Linked DNA regions of Arabidopsis thaliana. The protein of the gene in region 1 interacts with the protein of each later gene in a pairwise test. Each region holds a gene or a part of one and is shown on either strand. Other genes may lie near its edges.

Region 1 (9,325 bases):
AGATTATAAAAGTTTGAGTCCAGCATGAGAAACTATAGGTCTAACTAGTTAAAGTTCTACATGAGAACAAAGAGCAAAATCATAAATGAGAAACATGAACCTCAAAATGCCAATTGCTACACAAAAGGGACAAAATTTGGGATTAAAGATTAAAAGAAGTGATACCAAGAGGGCTCTTTGAATGGATTTGCCATGAAAGTAGAAGCAGAACTCCATGAAAAAGCTTGTCCCCTGTAAACCTGCCCCGCAAGATAGAAATTATGAATGTTTCCAGTAGAAACATGAGCCGCCATTTCCGACCTTAAAGCTCCTACAAAAACATGAAGATTGTTGTCATAAGAAAACATCATCAAAACAAAACAAGAAACATTCTTTCTGTACAATATAAAATCAAAATGCATAGATCCATCATCCATGATGCTCAAAATCCAAAATTTGATTGAAGAACGATGAGAATTGAGGACAATGTGTTACTCAAAATCCAACAATAACCTTTTTTATATCGAAACTTCTGAAATGAACAACGATAGAAAAAAAGACATAAGAAATATCGCAACCGTTGTCTGAATTCTGGAATTTAGGAGCAGAGGAAAGAATTAAAAAAAAATGTGTAGACTAGATCACACAAAATTCAGAATCTACGTTGAAATGAAACCAAGTAATGAGAAACGCAGAAATCTTACGGAATCACGGGAGGGAGCTCTCTGATCTAAGCACGAAACGGAGAACCCACGCGAGTGTAGATCAATAAAACGTGATTCAGACTTGATTAAAAAAACGACTTTTCGCAAAGAAACAATCAAAATTACGACGAAGAAGAAGAAGAAGAGGAGAAGGAAATGAACGAAGACAACACAAATTCTGGTAAGAGTGTTTTATGTGGTTTGGTCGTCGAGAAGAGTCCTTGAAATTCGCGCCTTCGTTTTGTGTATGGGAGCCTCCCCCAAGTGGTGTTGTTGGTCTTTCTTTATTCTTCTCTTTTGTCACTTTTTATGTCTTTGGGATCTTCATTTTTCATTGGCCTTCTTCAGTTTTTCTTTTATCACATAAAAAAAAAAGTACTTCTATGAAATAAACTTTTAATAAAAAATGGAATTTATTACTGAGTTAAAAAAAATTGGAATTTATTACTAGGCGTGGATTTTTAAAAAATTAGTGTATAAGATGATAATTTACTTATAGAATATTTCCCAGCTTTCTTCTACAAATATACACATTAATAAAGCCATTGACCCTACAAATATTCAAGTTTATTAGCCCTGTGGTTCATAATTTTTTAATATTAAGAACATTTATATATAAATAACAACGGTAGCTCAAGATGTGTGACCATGATTTTCCAAAACTAAAACTAAAAAAATAAATAAAGCAAATTAAATTTAAAAGAATTCTAACAACTTGTATAGAACTTTAAATATGTGTTCATACATGCACCAAGCATGACCGACTAGAAGAATCATGGAAAAAGAACATTCACTTTTCCATGACTCGTGGCCAATGCAAATCTCCAACGGCCACAACTATTTATTTCTATAACTATAATTTCTGGAAAAAGAAAAAAAAAATGGAGAAAAACTATTTGGATTTTGGAGTCTTCTTTTGAGTCTTTTTTTATACTTTTGATTTGTAAGTGGTGGCTTCTGAATTTTCCATCAGACAACTGAAAAAAACCTAACGAATAATAAAAATCAATAATATAAGACCGAATTATGATAACCATTCAAATGACAACTGAAAGAAAACAAATTAATTAAATAATAAAATTTCAAAAACCACGAATGCAATTTAAAAGGGAAAATGTTGGCATTTTTATGGCTATCATAATTTCCTTCTTTTCTAACTAAACATAGTGCTAATGGTTTGCTTAACTAATCAGGTATAACATCCACAATTGATGACATCCTCATTTGCTTCTATCGGAATAAACTGATTATCATTTGCTTCATCATCTTTAGACCTATGCTATTTTGGACCAGTCATGGTGTTGATGTATGCATCAAGGATGGCCTTATAACTAGAATCATGGGGAAAAAAGAACAATCACTTTTCCATGAGCCTTGCTAAATCTCCAATGGCCACAATTATTTTATTTTCTACAAAACTTACTGGAAATCACTTTGAGTCTTTTAGTTTTGACTACCGTTTTTAAGGGGAGAGATGACTTCTTCTGGATTTTTTATCGGACAACAAAAACGAATAATTAAAATTGGGCTTTTGAAAGGCGGGCCCAATACTGACCTAAGATTTTGCATGGAAATAAGCCCTGGATTTTCCAGAGGCCTAAATTAAACCCGAATCATCATGCAATTAGAATTGTTCAGCCCATAAATTTTTAATTTTTTCACACACATGAGCCGATGGCATTTCGTTGTGCTTCTTACTGAATTTCACGTCACGACTAAAACCTAGAAAATCAGCGAAACACATTAGCAAATACTAATGTTCGTCTCGTAGTTAGTCAATATCTTATTGGTAAAACTCGCACATATGTAAAAGAGCAGTGTCCTAGTTGTTCCTTCTAATGATATAAGATCATTTCCGCAAATCAAATTGCAGTTTCACCACGTAAATTAATGATAGAACCTCAACAATATAATTAGTATCAATAAGAATTAGCTATATTTATCATATTATATAATTAACATAAATAAAGTCTATTTAAATATATCATTTAGTTCGTAGCATAAATCATTACATGATTTTGAAAAGATGGTAAACTTGTGAATCACAAATTCCTTGGCCATGTATAGAATATCAAACCTGATATTAGAATCAAACAAAATTAAATGATAAGATTGTGAATAAATGAGTGTTAGGTACTTAGGTCCATCAAATTCCTCAATCATACATTCTACGACATAATTAATTATAACATTTATATGTAAAAATACACACTCCTCTTATATAGTTATGACAATAAAATGTTGTATATAAAATTACTACCCCTCTTATATATTGCCTCAACTTCCAGCGTTAAGAGTTTAATATGTCTAGAATTTTAAATGTGCCAGCTATATCAAAATATCATTGCCTCTGTTTTTCTTTCATTAGGAAGAAATATTTTTTTTAAAAAAACCATGTACAAGTATCATTGGATATGTGATATGCCCAAATAGATCATTCGAATTTTGTATGCAGAAAACTCTAATTCTTAGTTATGGATGCAAAATATTAATTATGGATCTTATTATTATTGTTTGTCATATTGCTGATAAGATTACTGATATAGTCAATTACTGAAAAGAAAATCATTTTGTTAATCTTGAATAAATAAGTCAGCAAAACAAGATGTACAATAGCAAAAATATCAACAAAATAAATTCTTTTTTTTCAAACAAAGTTAATATTTGCTTACAACACAGATTGGAAATTTCAAATATCCATCGCACATGCTATGTGACAGAAAAAAAATATGAACAATATACGTGATTATAAATTCAATAATCAATAGTAATAGTATCTATACGTAAATTAAAGATATTTGGTGGGGGCACAGAGATCAAGAAATTTTAATGATAAGAGAAGGAGCTTCTATTCTCTCTTTCTTTCTAACAATAACACTGTTTTTTTTTCCCCGTGAAGAATCCTAATCCCAAGAGAGTCAAAGTGTCAAACCATCTTCTAATTGAATATCTCCCCTAACTACAATTCCTAACTCTCATGCCACTAATCAATTACTTATTGTACATTTTTCTTTTTTTAATTAGTAACCAAATTTACAAAATTAACTCTAGGAAATCGTTTAATCCAAGATTCCCGGACGTTGGTCCAAGGGTATCACTCTACAAAATAATTATAAAAAATGACGAGGCATTTCATTTTCTAATCAATGTATTTTCTGATAAAGGATGTCATATAAACTTGGTATCTCATAAATAAAGTATCTAAACTTCAAAACGAACAACTACTATTACTTGATGAAAATAACAACACTATTATAATTAATGGTTAGTTGAGAAACAATACATAAAAAATTTGATGGAACTATGAGAGCCAGCCAGTTACTATCCTTCTCACCTTCCAATGGGTTGCGGCAAGAACCTTCACAACCTCCTTTATATTTGCGATGTGTATCTAGTCTTTTGCAATGGTCTCAAAACACTTTGGGTTTCATAAGTTTAACTATAATGGTGTCCCTGATATTTTCGGTCTAATATCTCTTAAAAAAGAAAAATACTTATGATTCATTTCAATTAATCAAGGTTCAAGAAGATATATAAACACTAGCCCTGACACATGAAACTTCGATGCCGAAAAGCTCTAAGATCAAAGCCGAATCTTTTTAAAACATACACGTGATTTTTGTGTCTCCCAAGACCATCTTAACCGGTCCATGTTTTCATGTTTTAGTTAGAAATCTAGATTAAGTCATTAAACTAATCCGTATCAGTAATTACCAGCTTGCATCTCAGAAGTCCATTATTATTTACATATCATCATCACATGCTAGACACAATCAATACCTTATGTCAATATCTAAAATAAGTCTATAATCATTAATACTTGTATTTATACCAATAGTATATCGTTTATTAAATATTATTCATACTTTATACATAAATATTCCACTAGGTTCTGAACTTGTAGTACTACTATTAATAACTCCGTCAAATAACTACTCAAAAGAACCTCTTTATCTCTCTCGTTTTATGATCTCTCTCGTCTATCATTCAAAGAAACAAAAAGAATGAGAAAGAAAGTAAGTAGTAGTGGTGACGAAGGAAACAATGAGTACAAGAAAGGTTTGTGGACAGTAGAAGAAGACAAAATCCTCATGGATTATGTCAAAGCTCATGGCAAAGGTCACTGGAATCGTATTGCCAAAAAGACTGGTCTCTTTCCTCTCTATCTCTCTCTCTAATCGTATTGACATAATTTATGAATTCTTTGTCACATGATTTTCTTTTACGAATGGTTTAAAGTTAAGGTTCTATATATTATATATGTTATTTTAGATTTAACTTTTAATCTATGTTAATAGAGTCCATATATCGCAAAAGCAACTTGAATCAGGATATTTATCTAGGGTCACCTTTTTGTTGTTTTTATTTTTATGAATTAAGGTCCTCAGTTAAATAATTGTATATGTGTGTTAGGTTTAAAGAGATGTGGAAAGAGTTGTAGATTGAGGTGGATGAATTATCTCAGCCCTAATGTGAAAAGAGGCAATTTCACCGAGCAAGAAGAGGATCTTATCATTAGGCTCCACAAGTTGCTTGGTAATAGGTATAACTTCATTTGCTCAAAATTAGTTTCTCTACTCAATTAATCATAAAAACAGCTATTTCTATCCATTTTGTATCAAGTTAAATAATCATAAATATTCGTGATTGTCTTCACAAACTTGCTTGGTAACACATGTTTTTATTCTCAAAATTTCAATACATTATATTTCACATGATAATTATATTGTTTATCTGTGTGTTTAATTAGGTGGTCTTTAATTGCTAAAAGAGTGCCGGGTCGAACGGATAATCAAGTGAAGAACTATTGGAACACGCATCTTAGTAAGAAACTCGGAATCAAAGATCAGAAAACCAAACAGAGCAATGGTGATATTGTTTATCAAATCAATCTCCCGAATCCTACCGAAACATCAGAAGAAACGAAAATCTCGAATATTGTCGATAACAATAATATCCTCGGAGATGAAATTCAAGAAGATCATCAAGGAAGTAACTACTTGAGTTCACTTTGGGTTCATGAGGATGAGTTTGAGCTTAGCACACTCACCAACATGATGGACTTTATAGATGGACACTGTTTTTGATGTGTTTTCTGCTTTTGTTATTTTAGTATTCGTTTATGTTTTGTTATTTTCAAAGCTGATCAAACACTAATACATCAACAGTCTTAGATTAAAAGTTGTTGATGTGGTAGTGTATGATTGGCTAAGTCTATTAATTAGGTGAACTTTCTTGGGTTAACTCTAATGTATATGCTTAAAAACTCTATATGCATCGATTAATGTTTTAAATGTTTCTTCAATTTCTTCCTAAGCAAAATTTTGGATTTTCTTTTGTGAATTGTTCATATAATCTTATTAAATGTTGGTTCAAGATATAAGCTAAAATTAAAAGAGTCGAACGATAACGGTAGGTTAGAAGGAGTATAGTTTATTTTTATTTTTATTTTACTTTGAGACGTACGTCCCTTAATTAATCTTCAAATTTGAAAAGAAGAAATTTCCAATTAAGTGGATACTACTACGTACCTTTTTGTCAACTAAATTTCGATTGTAGTTAAAACGATGCTAATGTGTATGTAAACGAGAAATTAGACAGAAACCTTGATTGCCCTGGCGAGTTTACTTGAAACGAACAAAATTAATACTAGTCAGACAATATAATGGGTCAAATTGTCACACTTCCCTAAAAAATTCTATAAATTGCTATGACAAAGCTGTCCCCCTTCTTAATAGTTTAATTTATGTTCTGTGTCTTTGGTTTTTAATATGTTCTTTGAAAGCTTGTCCCCCACTCCTTCCTTGATTATAATTGCTCAGACAGTTATATACAATGCATGAAACTATAGTAGTATATATATTCTAATTCTAAAGGAAGGTTTTCGATTATCGACATGGGGACATGTTGGTCATGTATAAGTATAATGGAAATGAAGAGGTTAGTATCAATCTTAATGTATACTATAGTAGCCATATCTCTAATCAAGACAAACGGTTTTAACATTTTTAATATAGATAGTACAACGCAACATTCAATGAAAATAGCAAAATAACATTTCCATTTCTCAAATTTTCGTTTGACAAATAAATAAAATTTATACGATTTTGTTATTCTCTCGTGTTGTAAATCAAAGCAACTTCAGCAAAACGATATCTGTGAAAGTAAACATGATTTATTTATTTATTTTATAACTGGATAATGAAGGAAAAGAAGCTCATCGCAAGTAAATGTATACCATTACAAGTAGCAATTAAATAAGAGTAAAACATTTATATATGAAGATGCTGATCATGATGATGACGACGATGATGATGTTTGTGATGGTGGTGGTAGCGATGGTGATGGTGATGTGTTAGTTCATATAGAATGAACGGGGGAAATTCCAAACTGGAGCTCCCAAAGCTCAAAGGAGCCATTAACAAAGTCATAGTAGCCTCCCTTCAAAGCAAGTGTTCCTTTCACAACTCCTTCTCTCACAAATGGATATGTCAATAGGTTTGCTAGTGACACATTCACTGCCTCCTGCAATATTCATACATTCATATTAGAAAACATTTCCGATAAAGATAATTTAATTATCCAATATTTATATTTTTGTTAAGGTTGATGACTATCTATGATTCTAATGAATAAATAAAGTGTTAACTGAAAAAATAAATGGAGTATTACGTACCCTTTCGCATCGGCCACATTGGTCTTCAAATGCTGAACTTTCACTTTCTGCCAAAACTTTTGACTTTGCTGGTAAACAGATTTTGACCCAATCCTCTATGAAGTCACTGCAATTAAAGTAAACATATCATTATAACTACCCACAAAAACACTTTGTTACCATTTCTCCTAAAAAGTAAATCTTGTGAAACAACTTTGTTATAATTTACTAGTTTATAAATGTCAAACATAGAAAATTTATTACGTAGAGTTGTTTCCGTCAAGAGGAAATGACATAAGCCCCTTGATGCCACCACATGCACTGTGCCCTATCACCACAATGTTTTCCACCTACATTCATAAATTTTCAATAAACATCAACATATGTATTGATGGATAATATACTCACATCACATAAATCACAACACACTAAATACAGAACGGCCCAATAAGGCCCATATACTCATCGCCTTAACCGGAGTAATAAGTAACATTGATACATATAAACTAACATGCATCCTATGAGTCAAGCAAGTTTTAGGAAAAAACACAAAACAATCTAAAGAGAGAAGAATGTATATATTGATTATTGAGGGAGAGATTTTGACCTTAAGGTGCAAGACAGCGTATTCAATGGCGGCTCCAACTCCTGCATATTTGACCTGTAATTATTTTTATAAAGGAAAAAAAAAACAGAAAAGCCATGTTATGACTTCATAAGTCAAAATCAAAGTCAAACACTCTGTTTGAGTCAGAATGTTCAAGAATAAATTAGCGATGTAAATTAATGTAGTGTATAAAGTGTTTACCTTGTCAAAAGGAGGAACCATATTGGCGATATTACGAACCACGAAGGCATCTCCAGGATGGAAGTCTAGTACGTGTGATGGGCACACTCGTGAGTCCGAACAAGCAAACACCATGTACTGCACAATTCATAGTATATGACCATATAATATGAGTCCAAAAGAAAAATCTAACATATTCATATAGAGATAACTATATTTTTCATCAACTGCTTTATATATTTTTCTTCTTATTTTTGTTTTACCTTTGGGCTTTGACCTTTGGCGAGCTCACCATACAAAGCAGGATTGGTCCTGCAAAGAAATTATAATATATATCATTAAGTTTCAAATGATGACTTGATTTTATGTTATTATAGTGGATGTATGTTAACTATAACAAAAATTAAAAGCACAATATTTATATTACTCGTATTTCTCCTTCTTGAAGGTGACGAAGCCTTCCTTAATTCGTTCGACGGGATCAAAAGATTTGCTGTCCGATGACGAGGCTGCCTGAAGCTCCGCCGTGATCTTCTTCACCTTGGCCGCAGCTACATCCTTCAGATCATCCTTCTCACTGCTCGTATATTTTTGTGATATAAAATTCAATTTTTAAAAATCCTATTAATTTTCAATTACTAGTATATGTAATCAGTCTCTCAGTTTACAAAAGTCTTCTATAAGTTTCCAATATCTTCAATATTTTACTTACATGAGAAGCTTCTTGAGAGCTTCGATGGCGTCTTCATATGATTCGTTTCCCATCCTTCTCAGTTCTGTGCAAGTCATTGACACAAACAAATTATTTATGATAAAATGATTCACTTTCCAGAAAAATCAAGTTTTCCTTACCTTAGCTAAAAAAATAATTAACTAGGATGAAAATGAGTGAAAAAGTATAATAGTAATGCTTAAAATAGTAGTTGTATCTATCTTATAGTAAATAAATAAACAGAATAATAAACAATTTTTGACTATCTGATTTCTAGTAATATGCCAGATTTAATTCCATAAATAAAGATAAAATTTATATTAAAATTTGAAATATATTAAATTTTAGTATTTATAGTCAAATTTATAAAGATTTTGTTTTATCATTTTGAATTTTAGTTTTATATATATGTATGTATATATATATATATTAGATTATATTTTTAATGTATAACTTTGGATTTAACTCCATATCTAAACTTTACTTCT
Region 2 (10,947 bases), on another chromosome or scaffold:
ATGAAAGCAGCTTCTCTGAACATCCCCATGTCTCCATCGCCGTCTTATGGAACATTCCATGATACAGAAGAAGGAGAAAGCTCTGCAGGATCAGGCATGGAAGGATCCCCTTCCGGGTGGTCCTTCAAAGGAATGAGAAGAAAATGGGATCAATTCATAGATTGCCATTTTCCTGTAAATGACAACAGTGAACATATGATCTTCAAAAATCAGGAATCTCAAGCTTTGTTGTGTGGTCAAGAAACATGAAAATCTTGTTATAGGTGTAAATGTAGAAAATAGGATATAGAATCAGAGAAGCAAAGTAGATGAAATTCATTATTGAGAGATTTAAGAATTTCTTTGTTGTTATAGCTCTTTTTGTGTGTAACACAGCCTGTAATGTTGCTAGCAATTTCTTCTGAAATATCAATGGACATACCACTTATATTGTTCTATACACTATTCATCTTACAACTTACAAGCTCAGTTTACAATCTTGGTTTTGATTCCCTCCAACTTAGCTATGCTGAATTGGTAAACCCAAGCCAAGACGTTCTTATTATATGTAACCAGGCGCTAATAAGTGTTTTTAGTAGCATGGTGGAGGACTATATATATTCACTCGGGGTTGGTCTCTTGTGTCCCTGGAGCCAAACCAAGATCCGGAACGGCTTCACCTGCAAGTGAAAGTAACCCCAGGTTATAAAACCTTGAGAAGACACTAAATTCCACTAGGAGAATATGAAACGGAAGCTATACCATGCATTCGTTTGAGGAATCTCTCAAACTCTTTGAAGTTTTGAGACTCCATCAGAGTTGGGTTAAGCCTCAGGTAAGTGAAACATGAAAGGTGGCGACCATCAGGATCGGTAAGGGGCTTTGCGTTTTCAAGTATCTTGTTGTAACCTTCTCTGTCATAACAAGGAAGAGCATTTTCACTAGCAACAGGTATACTAGCATCCCAAGCAGCATTCAGCACCTGAAAAAATTAACAATGGAAAGAAAAATTTGGCAAGTTAAGATTTTGGCCTAAACAAATTAAAGCCAATCACTTGTATAAGTTGAAGAAGTTTTGACCTGCCAAACTAGACCTTCTGGATCTGCCAGAGCCTCTGGGAAATCCTCATGTTGATCAAGTGTCCGTAACTCCACACATGTGAAGTTGAGAGCAGCATCATGTTTCTTAAACATTGCAGCTATTGGACCATAGCCATCACGGTTTGAGGAGTTGTAGAAGCCAGCAGTGAGTTCAGCAGCATGACTAGCTGTTTTATACCACCAGTGTATACCTGAGAGCTGATTTCCAAAAATGGATAGACAAACAAATGGTTCTATCAACACAAGCCAGAAAAATATAGTATAATATAGTGCACTAGCCCCATCAATAGAGCTTTGTTTACCTTTGCAGCAATGCAAGTTCCTTCGAAAGCCAAATTTGCCATAGCAAGAACACGATCACCATGGTCAATCAGAACTCTTGAGTACCAATTAAGAAAGAATCTACCATAGTAGCTGTCATAATCGCCTCCATCGCGAAAAAATCCAGTCCCATGTGGTGTTGAATTATAAGTCTCTGTGTTATCAGGTCCTCTGCCCCAAAAGCTGTGGCCTCTTACTTCTGCAGCCTCCTTTAAGCTATTCATCAAATATTTATCATAACACTGCGCAGATAGGACAGCACAGCAGAGAAGATATATCGGTAAGTAAACTAATAAATTAGTTGTCCAAATAGCAATGTAAGATAATAATGTAATTTTGTATACGCTTATGATGCGTCAAAAAGATTACCTGGAATTCACCAATACCAGGGTATTTCCACCCAAATTGTGCAGGGTATGAAGGATACCTCAGCTCCCCACATGGACCTAGTCCAACTTCAATTTCAGGGATGATTTTCTCCTCAAAGAATTCATCAAATTCCACACGAAAGCTTCTCATGTAATCAAAGTAAACCTACATAACAAGTGATTTCATAGAGTCAGTAAACACTTCTTATTACAGATCAACTTCTCATTCTTCCTACTACAACTCGCTGCAGATTACATTCTTCGAATGATAATTTGCTACAGATTTTTTAGCATGGAGTAGTAGAAAGCCATACCTCAAGAGCAGTCCGTCCTCTTAAAACACGTTGCTTGTCAATTCCCCAAGTAAGGCATTCAGTGTTACGCCTGCCAGCACTGTCAGTGAAGTAGATGTCAGGATTGCTTTGACCAATTTCTCTCACCCACTCAGGGATTTGTATATGCACATCATCTCCAACATTGCCTCCACATTCGTGAAACGACATAACAACCTGAAGTCAATTCAAGTCAAGAACACTTTAAAAAGGTTCATCCTCAACTCTGCATATCTTTCACTAAACTGAACTGAGACTCATCGATCAAATAACATTACCTGAATCTTAAGTCCAAGCTCACGAATCATCTGAAAAAGTTTCTTGTAACCACTCCAGTTATAAACCTGTGGTGTATGTGACTCAACAATTCCCCACCAGCAGTCAACCATAACACCATCAACATTAACCGACTTTAAAGTTCTTAACTGATCCAAAAGCTCCTCCGGTTCCACCACTTCCGAGTTCATATCAATCACTCCCAGCTACATCATTCAACAGCCAAATCAACCAAACACACACACAAATCTCTAGCCAACAAAAATAAAATCAAAAGAAGACTCACTGGTAGCATAACATATACAGGAACACACGCTGTGCCAGCAAAATCACGCTCTTCGAAATGCACAATTTCTTCATCAACCTAACAAAACGAAGAGTAAAATTGATTCTGGTCACAAACGAGTGAATCATCCAAATGAAATTCCACACTTACGAGCTGATCAGTAGAATCGTCGTCGTCATCAATTGGAACTCGATCTTCCTCAGTACTCTCTGCTCTCAGTTTCACCTTCGCGAGAACCAAAGGCCTAGCACCGGAAAATGTAGAAACACCACGCCAATCTCCAACGCTGAACGGTAACGAGCTCCGAGCCGATACTCTCGTCGGAGCTCCAAGCTTCACGCTCACTGGAATTACACTATGATTCAACCTAATCGCCATCACTAAACCAAAATTATCTCAAATTCAGTTAAAATTGGATTTTCGTGGAATGTGAAATCAAAAGCCACGTGAAGGCTTATTCATGGGATCCAAGAATCATTGGTTGGTTCAAATCAATTTTGAAATCCTAAAAAAGTTTTCAGGATTCACTCAGATCCGTTGAGTACAAAAGGGTTTTGTCTTTTACCACTTTTTTTCTAATCCACGTGGCGTGACCTGACACGTCAGATAAGTACGCGCGTTGCAACTTTATCAAGGGGCTTTTGTGAATATTACTATGGGCTTTTCAGAATATATTATTGGGCCTGTAAAGTCACGTCACTAAAAAAAGTAGTTTATCTACATCAAATGTGTTTATTATTTAATAACTTTAGTGTGTTGTTGTACTTGCACGAGTGTATATGAATTTAGAATAATACTATCTTAAACAATCGGCTAAGCTATTTATAATCTGTAAGATTGATACTAACGATGTAACATTAATGTATTAATCCGAAGACAGTCGTGCATTGTAGTGGCAAATGTTGTATGTCAGATGTGTCGCGTCTGTAATCAATGCGCTACGTCTCTCTGTCTTAACAAAATCATTGAAGCTTTAAATTTGAATTTCATTATTTTACAATTGCATTTCTCTCGTAAGTCGTAACTTTCATATTCATTTTTTGAAGATTTTTTAAGGATAAAATGTGAATTACTATTACCAAAAGAAACATTGTTATTTACTTTGGGACAGCTTCTAGATATGGACCCCAACAAAAAAAAAAAAAAAAAAAACTGAAACTAATACAAGTCAAGACCCAACTATAGTAACTAGGTTTGGGTGAACCATTGGGACAACAATCTTCCACAACCTTTGCGATATTGTCACGGATGGTTATGTCAATCTGCCACAAAACAATCTTAGGAGAGAACTTGAAGTGTTGTGCAATCTCTCATTTCTTTCTCTCCGAAGAAAGAAAATTGTTGCTTGTATAATGAGAATTAAAGACTTCAAGTTCTCACTCAACTTTAAATTTATCTAACTTTTCTCTTTGTCGTGGTTCATGTCGCTTCTTTTTCATCCTGAATGCAATTTGATATAGGATCCCATTGGTTAGGATTGTATATGTTTTGTAAAATTTAGGGTAATATATAGACTTTTATACTATAATTTTATTATTATATACATTTAAAAAATGTCTAGGGCATCTAAAATTAAATTAATTGTTTCTATGAAAATAGAAAATATAAACACAAACATATGGCTATAATGAGTGTGTTGTGCCAACAGAAATAATTTATAAAATTAAACACAAAGTTTTGTCGTTATGGAAATAAATGTGCATGCAACCACAAGTGGTGCGTTACTAAATTATGTAGGGCTTCGTGGATAGAGATGGATCAATTATTATTTTCACGAGTTTCTTGCCTTCATTTCAGCCAGCTCTCTCCTGATCTTGCCTTCAATTTTATTACTATTTTTTTACTGCCACTTGCTATATTTACTTACTTCGGACAAAATAGTGCTTTGATGGTAAACAAATAACGATCGGTATATGCGATGTCTCGCGATTGATTATCAAACTTGAACAGTAGTGTGTATTTGTTTAATATATAATCTATTAGAGTATCATGGAATTATTCGGGTGAAATGCGCATTTATATCTATCATAGAAACTAGAATCTTCACTATCCAAATAGTATATTCCATTTTCTTGCAACTACGTATAACTACATTCTGTTTGTCATATATTTAAGATCGAGTAACAAAAAATTAATCATCTTCATTGATGTGAGCCAGACAAAGAGTTCAATTTTTTTGGTTGTTAAAGTATGTTGATACTTGATACGTTTACCAAAACACAAAAAAACAATGTAGGTCGATACGTTCCATTTCCACACAACAAGATAGATACAAATATATAATGATTGTAAGACAATAAGACCCCGACATGTCTTAACACGAAAAAAAAAGTAACTAAGTTTATATAAACCAACACAAGTTTAACTAAGAATCTAAGAATCTCTACTTTGTTGATTTCATAAGTGTATTCATCTAAATTAGTTATAAGTACAATGTAATATCAACATGTATTTATATTGTCTCTTGTTGGATATTAACTATCCAAACCAAACCTATAATATGAAATCATCAAAACATTAATCATTATGGTCAAACTATCTCAAGTTGTATTCTTTAAAAAGTGTCACGATAAACTCTAACATCATAGTGGATTTAAGACAACACAAATCCAAAAGAGTTAAAAAGATCGGTCTTAAATTTATGATTCATATCCATGCATGATGTTGGCCAATCACCTAGTATAGTAGTAATAACCAAGCTTTTGACTAAATGAATAGGAGGAAACAAAAAAACTATATTGAATCTTTCTTTTTGCAATATTTTTCAGCATCATCACTAATTTAGAGAATATTTTACCTTGGTTTTCACCAAATAGAATCCAACACTATTACCATATGTATTGTATAAAGATAAGTCACTCCAAAAACCAAGATCATGACCCAAGTCAACCACTCTCTCTCATAATTCAGACACAGTACTCAACTTTAAAGACACTCTTTTAAGACTTTCCATCAGGACCAAGCTGAGAAAGAGAAAGCAATAAAGAAAGAAAGAAAAGGAAATAAAGCTTCAATACCAAACCCTTCTTTAATAAATTTTGCCTTTTGGTTGTCTCCTCTTTATCAATCACTTTGGTTCCATACTTTTAAATTCAGTTCTTCACGATATCTAGATATGTCTTTGACAATGGCTGATGGTGTAGAAGCTGCAGCAGGAAGAAGTAAAAGACAAAACAGCTTATTAAGAAAACAACTTGCTTTAGCTGTAAGAAGTGTTCAATGGAGCTACGCAATCTTCTGGTCGTCTTCACTTACTCAACCTGGGTAAGTATAATCTAATATTCATCATGTACCAAAATTATCAGATCTTGTTGTTCTCATCTTTGCATTTCCATTTTCTCTTCTTTTAAATCTTGGGTTACTTATGAGTACTATGTTCTACTAATTTAGGGTTTTGGAGTGGGGAGAAGGATGTTACAATGGAGATATGAAGAAGAGGAAGAAGAGTTATGAATCTCATTATAAATATGGGTTGCAAAAAAGCAAGGAGCTTCGGAAACTTTATTTGTCTATGCTTGAAGGAGACAGTGGTACTACTGTTAGTACTACTCATGATAATCTCAATGATGATGATGATAATTGTCACAGTACAAGTATGATGCTGTCACCAGATGACCTCTCTGATGAAGAGTGGTACTATTTAGTCTCCATGTCCTATGTCTTCTCTCCTTCACAATGGTTTGTTCTCTCACTCTCTCTCTCTCTTCTCCTATGAATTTGTACACTAAAATATATTAGCTCTTGTGAACTATTCATATAGAAAAACCAATTTGCAATAAAGAAGTAATGAGAAATGTCCTTTCATTTTAAGATGAAACATCCATCACTTTGGGTAAAGAGTTTAGTACCACCAAAACCATTTGGTAAATAGTGGAGTGATTATTCCTTTGGGGTTCCTTTTTGTTACACTTTCACCTTTTGCATTTTAAGTAATCCTAGATTAAGTTTTTTTTTTCTCTTTTATGATCATTAATTATTGTCATTTTGGCTTTTTTGGTTGTTTATGTATATACTTTAGTTTGCCTGGAAGAGCTTCAGCGACGGGTGAGACCATATGGCTCTGCAACGCTCAATATGCGGAGAACAAGCTCTTCTCTCGTTCTTTGTTAGCAAGAGTAAGTTCTCAGAAACTTCTAATTTCCTCTTCTTGAATCTTGATATATCAAGATCGAATCTGACTAAAAATCTCCTTTGATCTTCTTTGCTTTTCATTACTGTTCATATGGCTTCTCTCCTTTAGAGCGCATCAATTCAGGTACGTTATAATGTTTGTTATAACTGGATTCTGATTGTTAGAAATAAAAGTTTAGTTCTCTTATTGTTAGAAATGAAAGTTTAGTTATCTATATATCAATTTGGATAGAAGATTTATAGAATGTATCTGTGTTGTTATCTCCAGACTGTTGTGTGTTTCCCTTACTTGGGCGGAGTCATTGAGCTGGGCGTCACTGAATTGGTAACTCTCCATCTTAATATATAAAGTTTTACTTTTGTTGCTTGCTTCACAAGAATTAAATATACCTTACTTTGTTTAATTTTGTTCATGATCAATGAAAGATTTCAGAAGACCATAACCTGCTTCGAAACATCAAATCTTGCTTGATGGAAATATCTGCACACCAAGACAACGATGACGAGAAGAAGATGGAGATTAAGATCAGTGAAGAGAAGCATCAGCTTCCATTAGGTATTTCTGATGAAGACTTGCATTACAAAAGAACCATTTCAACAGTACTCAACTACTCCGCAGATAGATCAGGTAAGAACGATAAGAACATTCGTCATCGTCAGCCAAATATTGTTACTTCTGAACCTGGCTCAAGTTTCTTGCGGTGGAAGCAATGTGAGCAGCAAGTCTCGGGTTTTGTTCAGAAAAAAAAGTCACAGAATGTGTTGCGGAAGATATTGCATGATGTCCCTTTGATGCACACAAAGAGAATGTTCCCAAGTCAGAACTCTGGTCTGAATCAAGATGATCCTTCAGATAGAAGAAAAGAGAACGAAAAGTTCAGTGTCCTTAGAACTATGGTTCCCACTGTCAACGAGGTAATAACTCTTTTTCTAAATCCTTAGAGACAAGACTGTGTTTCAGAAGCCAACACTCTGTTTTGAATCTTTGTGCAGGTTGATAAAGAATCGATACTAAACAACACAATCAAGTACCTGCAAGAACTGGAGGCAAGAGTAGAAGAGCTAGAATCTTGTATGGGATCAGTTAATTTTGTAGAAAGACAAAGAAAGACGACAGAGAACCTTAACGACTCTGTGTTGATCGAAGAGACATCAGGGAACTACGATGATAGCACGAAGATCGATGACAATTCAGGAGAAACCGAACAAGTCACTGTTTTCAGAGATAAGACACATTTGAGAGTTAAACTCAAAGAAACAGAAGTTGTGATCGAAGTAAGATGTTCTTACAGAGACTACATAGTTGCGGACATCATGGAAACTCTGAGCAATCTTCACATGGATGCTTTCTCTGTTAGATCTCACACGCTCAATAAGTTCCTCACATTGAATCTCAAGGCCAAGGTAAATTAATCTTACTGATGTTTGGAAAAGGCAGATTTGGGTTTTCTTGACTTACACGTAACGTTTTTGGGTTTATGCATGCAGTTTCGCGGGGCTGCAGTTGCGTCCGTAGGAATGATTAAGCGAGAGCTGAGAAGAGTCATTGGTGATTTGTTTTAATGTTCTTCTTAGTAAAAATTCTTATATTTTCTTAAACTTTTGATGAAATGTTATATTTATCTAGACTTTCGTGAACCGATATGCGATGTGCCATTATCTTTACATCAAGTTTTCAGGGTTTTTGTATGTAAAGTTTGCCAAAGTTTGGTTGGAATTTTCGACAACGTTGTCTCTTCCTCTTCTACAAAACCAAGATCTATACTTATTCATAATTCATGGGCGATTTGTATCTTTCATTAATGATTGTTTTGAGCTATTATATTATTTGTATTGATAGAAAAAAATAACCAATTGGCTTTGGCTCAACTTCTTTCCCGTGAAGAGGATGGATCATATACATATCCTATTGTAATTTGAATGAACCCTATTGGGTCAAGGATCATGATCTCATGGGAAAGCTAATGAGCTTTATCCACCTCAAAGCCAATTGGTTACTAATGCTTGAACTAAATCTGTCTTATATACTAGCTAAAATTTCCATATGTTTCCGATGTGGGATTTGTTAAAGTTACTAATGCAATTTTTCTGCCGACATTATCATAATAAGTTGTACCTTAAACCTCAAGTAATTGATTTGGTCCTCATAGGCTATTAGGTTTAGTGGGCTTTTGGGCCGTATTAAACCCGTTTGATTAGAAAAGCTAGCGCTCGCCAAAAGCCCTAAACTTGTCTCGTAGCCTCAACCTCTTGATATTATGCTTCGTTTAGGTCGTCATGTGTGATTCTGTGCTTCAGTTTCTTTCTAAATCCTTAAATAAACGGATTGATATTTACTAAACGGAGGATAATGTAACTTGAAAAGGTATTTATTGAAAACTGTTGATTCTTTCTTGAATGCATAATTAATGGTGTTCTCTTGTAACTCATAGAGCCTCCAAAGAAGTAGTAAATGTTATGGTGCGTTATAAAATTTGATTGTTTCACTTGCATTATATATCTCCAATTGATGCAGCCTTCACGCTAATTACCATACACTACTTCTTAATTTCTTAAAGTCTTTTGAGTATTTGATTTTCTTGGATGTCACATATGAAGAGAGGGATATTGGAAGTATTTCTCATTGATGCTCATGGAATCACACACACAAATTTTATCGGTGATTATGAAAAGACAAAACCTTCTTCATATATGTTATATATCAAACTAAAATCGTTATTTTTAATCATTTTGGTTTGTAGGAACTCCTGTGTATTATGTGCTCTTACAATGTGGGACAAAGGAATACCGTAGCAAAATGTCAAAAGGTTCAAGTTTTGTTACTCTTTAGTAATTTTGTTTTTCCTCTTAGCCAAATGTATATTAGAAAACATTTTTGGCTCTTTTATGAAAAAAGGTGATAATGACAATGCATTGTGGAACCAAAAGTTTGTTTTCGATTTCCCGATGTCTCAATGGAAGAAACTGACCTATATCAAATTAAGAATCTTGGACAAAGAGCTCTTCAATGATGGTGGATTTGTCGGTGAAACCATGTAAGTTTTGCTTGCAGAAACTGAAGTTAATGTGGTTTAGCATTAGCAATATCACATATAGTACCATCCTTTTGTTTGTGACTCTTTTTGGTACAGAATTCATCTCGGAGGCATAATAACCGAAGGGCGTGACAGAGGATACATTGAAATAAAACCAGCTCCATACAATGTTGTTCTTGAGGACGATACTTTTAAAGGTGAACTAAAAGTCGGATTGAGATTCATTGCAACAGTAAGTAACTCGGTAACTATCCTAGAATTTCATGAGAATCTTTGTGGAGACTTATTAATCTTAGGTTCATCTTTTTACTAGTACTTTTTGGTGTTTGAGCACATTGAAATATTCAAGAACATCGACAATAACATATAATCTCAAAATTTCTCAAGAAAATTTATTTATTTTTGTAGGATAAATTGCAGAGGAAAGCATGGGAGCTGAAGATGGAGGCCAAAAACAGTGAAGAACTAATGATTTCTCCAATTCAGAATCTGATGAAACTCCCATTACTAAGGTTTCTGCTCTATTGCTTTCGGAAAACAAAACAATATCAACTAAAAGAGAACTAAAATGATTAAAAGGGTTAGCATCAAAACTCTATTAAATTTTGTTTCCAATAATTTTCTATGGTTCGGGCCTGTCAAGGAAAGCGATGACATTTATTTGATTTCTAAGTTTGTGCAAACATTTTAGGTTTATAGCTGCATGGGCAAGAAGGCAATGTCTCATCAATGCAAAACTACTTTATTGTTTCGTCGACTATAAGAAATGCCTTACTCCTTATTCGTAGCTAGGGTTTCTCGATCAACCCTTTCACGGTATCGTGATGGGCAAGAATACGAAACTGTTGATGACTTTAATCTTTTTCACCTTCAATCTTTTAATGTAATGAATGGTCTACATTTATATCTTTTGATGTAACATTTTTCTTACTTTCATTTAATTTTTCAACCCATATAATTACTAATTTTTTGCTACCTAGTTATATGTATGCATTGTCTATACTCCTTAGTTCACTTTCTATTAACTAAAATTTGTTGAATATGTTAGACATACTTATATTAAGTTTATTTTTAAAATATAAGTATATGGAACATATCTCAACAAGTAAATAAAGGTG

The links.
Region 2: the proteins of MYB66 (region 1) and ATMYC1 interact in a two-hybrid assay, tested with the Arabidopsis thaliana proteins (2 studies listed by BioGRID, with this or other methods).

The regions. Positions count from the first base shown.
Region 1 is NC_003076.8:4,760,101-4,769,425, reverse strand, and holds MYB66 (myb domain protein 66), read left to right. Parts: upstream 1-4,602; 5' UTR 4,603-4,687; coding exon 4,688-4,832; exon of another isoform or gene 4,833-5,096; coding exon 5,097-5,226; intron 5,227-5,433; coding exon 5,434-5,770; 3' UTR 5,771-6,054; downstream 6,055-9,325. Other genes in the region: AO (L-aspartate oxidase), read right to left, coding at 166-293; CA2 (carbonic anhydrase 2), read right to left, coding at 7,044-7,208, 7,360-7,465, 7,603-7,688, 7,946-7,999, 8,147-8,263, 8,389-8,437, 8,553-8,702, 8,838-8,901.
Region 2 is NC_003075.7:214,516-225,462, reverse strand, and holds ATMYC1 (basic helix-loop-helix (bHLH) DNA-binding superfamily protein), read left to right. Parts: upstream 1-5,681; 5' UTR 5,682-5,778; coding exon 5,779-5,927; intron 5,928-6,053; coding exon 6,054-6,341; intron 6,342-6,681; coding exon 6,682-6,778; intron 6,779-6,903; coding exon 6,904-6,918; intron 6,919-7,062; coding exon 7,063-7,119; intron 7,120-7,220; coding exon 7,221-7,709; intron 7,710-7,787; coding exon 7,788-8,198; coding exon of another isoform or gene 8,199-8,207; exon of another isoform or gene 8,208-8,229; intron 8,230-8,282; coding exon 8,283-8,343; coding exon of another isoform or gene 8,344-8,357; exon of another isoform or gene 8,358-8,421; coding exon 8,422-8,597; 3' UTR 8,598-8,651; downstream 8,652-10,947. Other genes in the region: AT4G00500 (alpha/beta-Hydrolases superfamily protein), read left to right, coding at 1-249; BAM2 (beta-amylase 2), read right to left, coding at 601-659, 742-961, 1,060-1,278, 1,383-1,643, 1,771-1,935, 2,084-2,278, 2,380-2,583, 2,664-2,741 and 1 more; AT4G00467 (Calcium-dependent lipid-binding (CaLB domain) family protein), read left to right, coding at 9,387-9,453, 9,536-9,601, 9,691-9,829, 9,926-10,061, 10,238-10,341, 10,521-10,617. UniProt on the Arabidopsis thaliana protein: Trancsription activator, when associated with MYB75/PAP1 or MYB90/PAP2.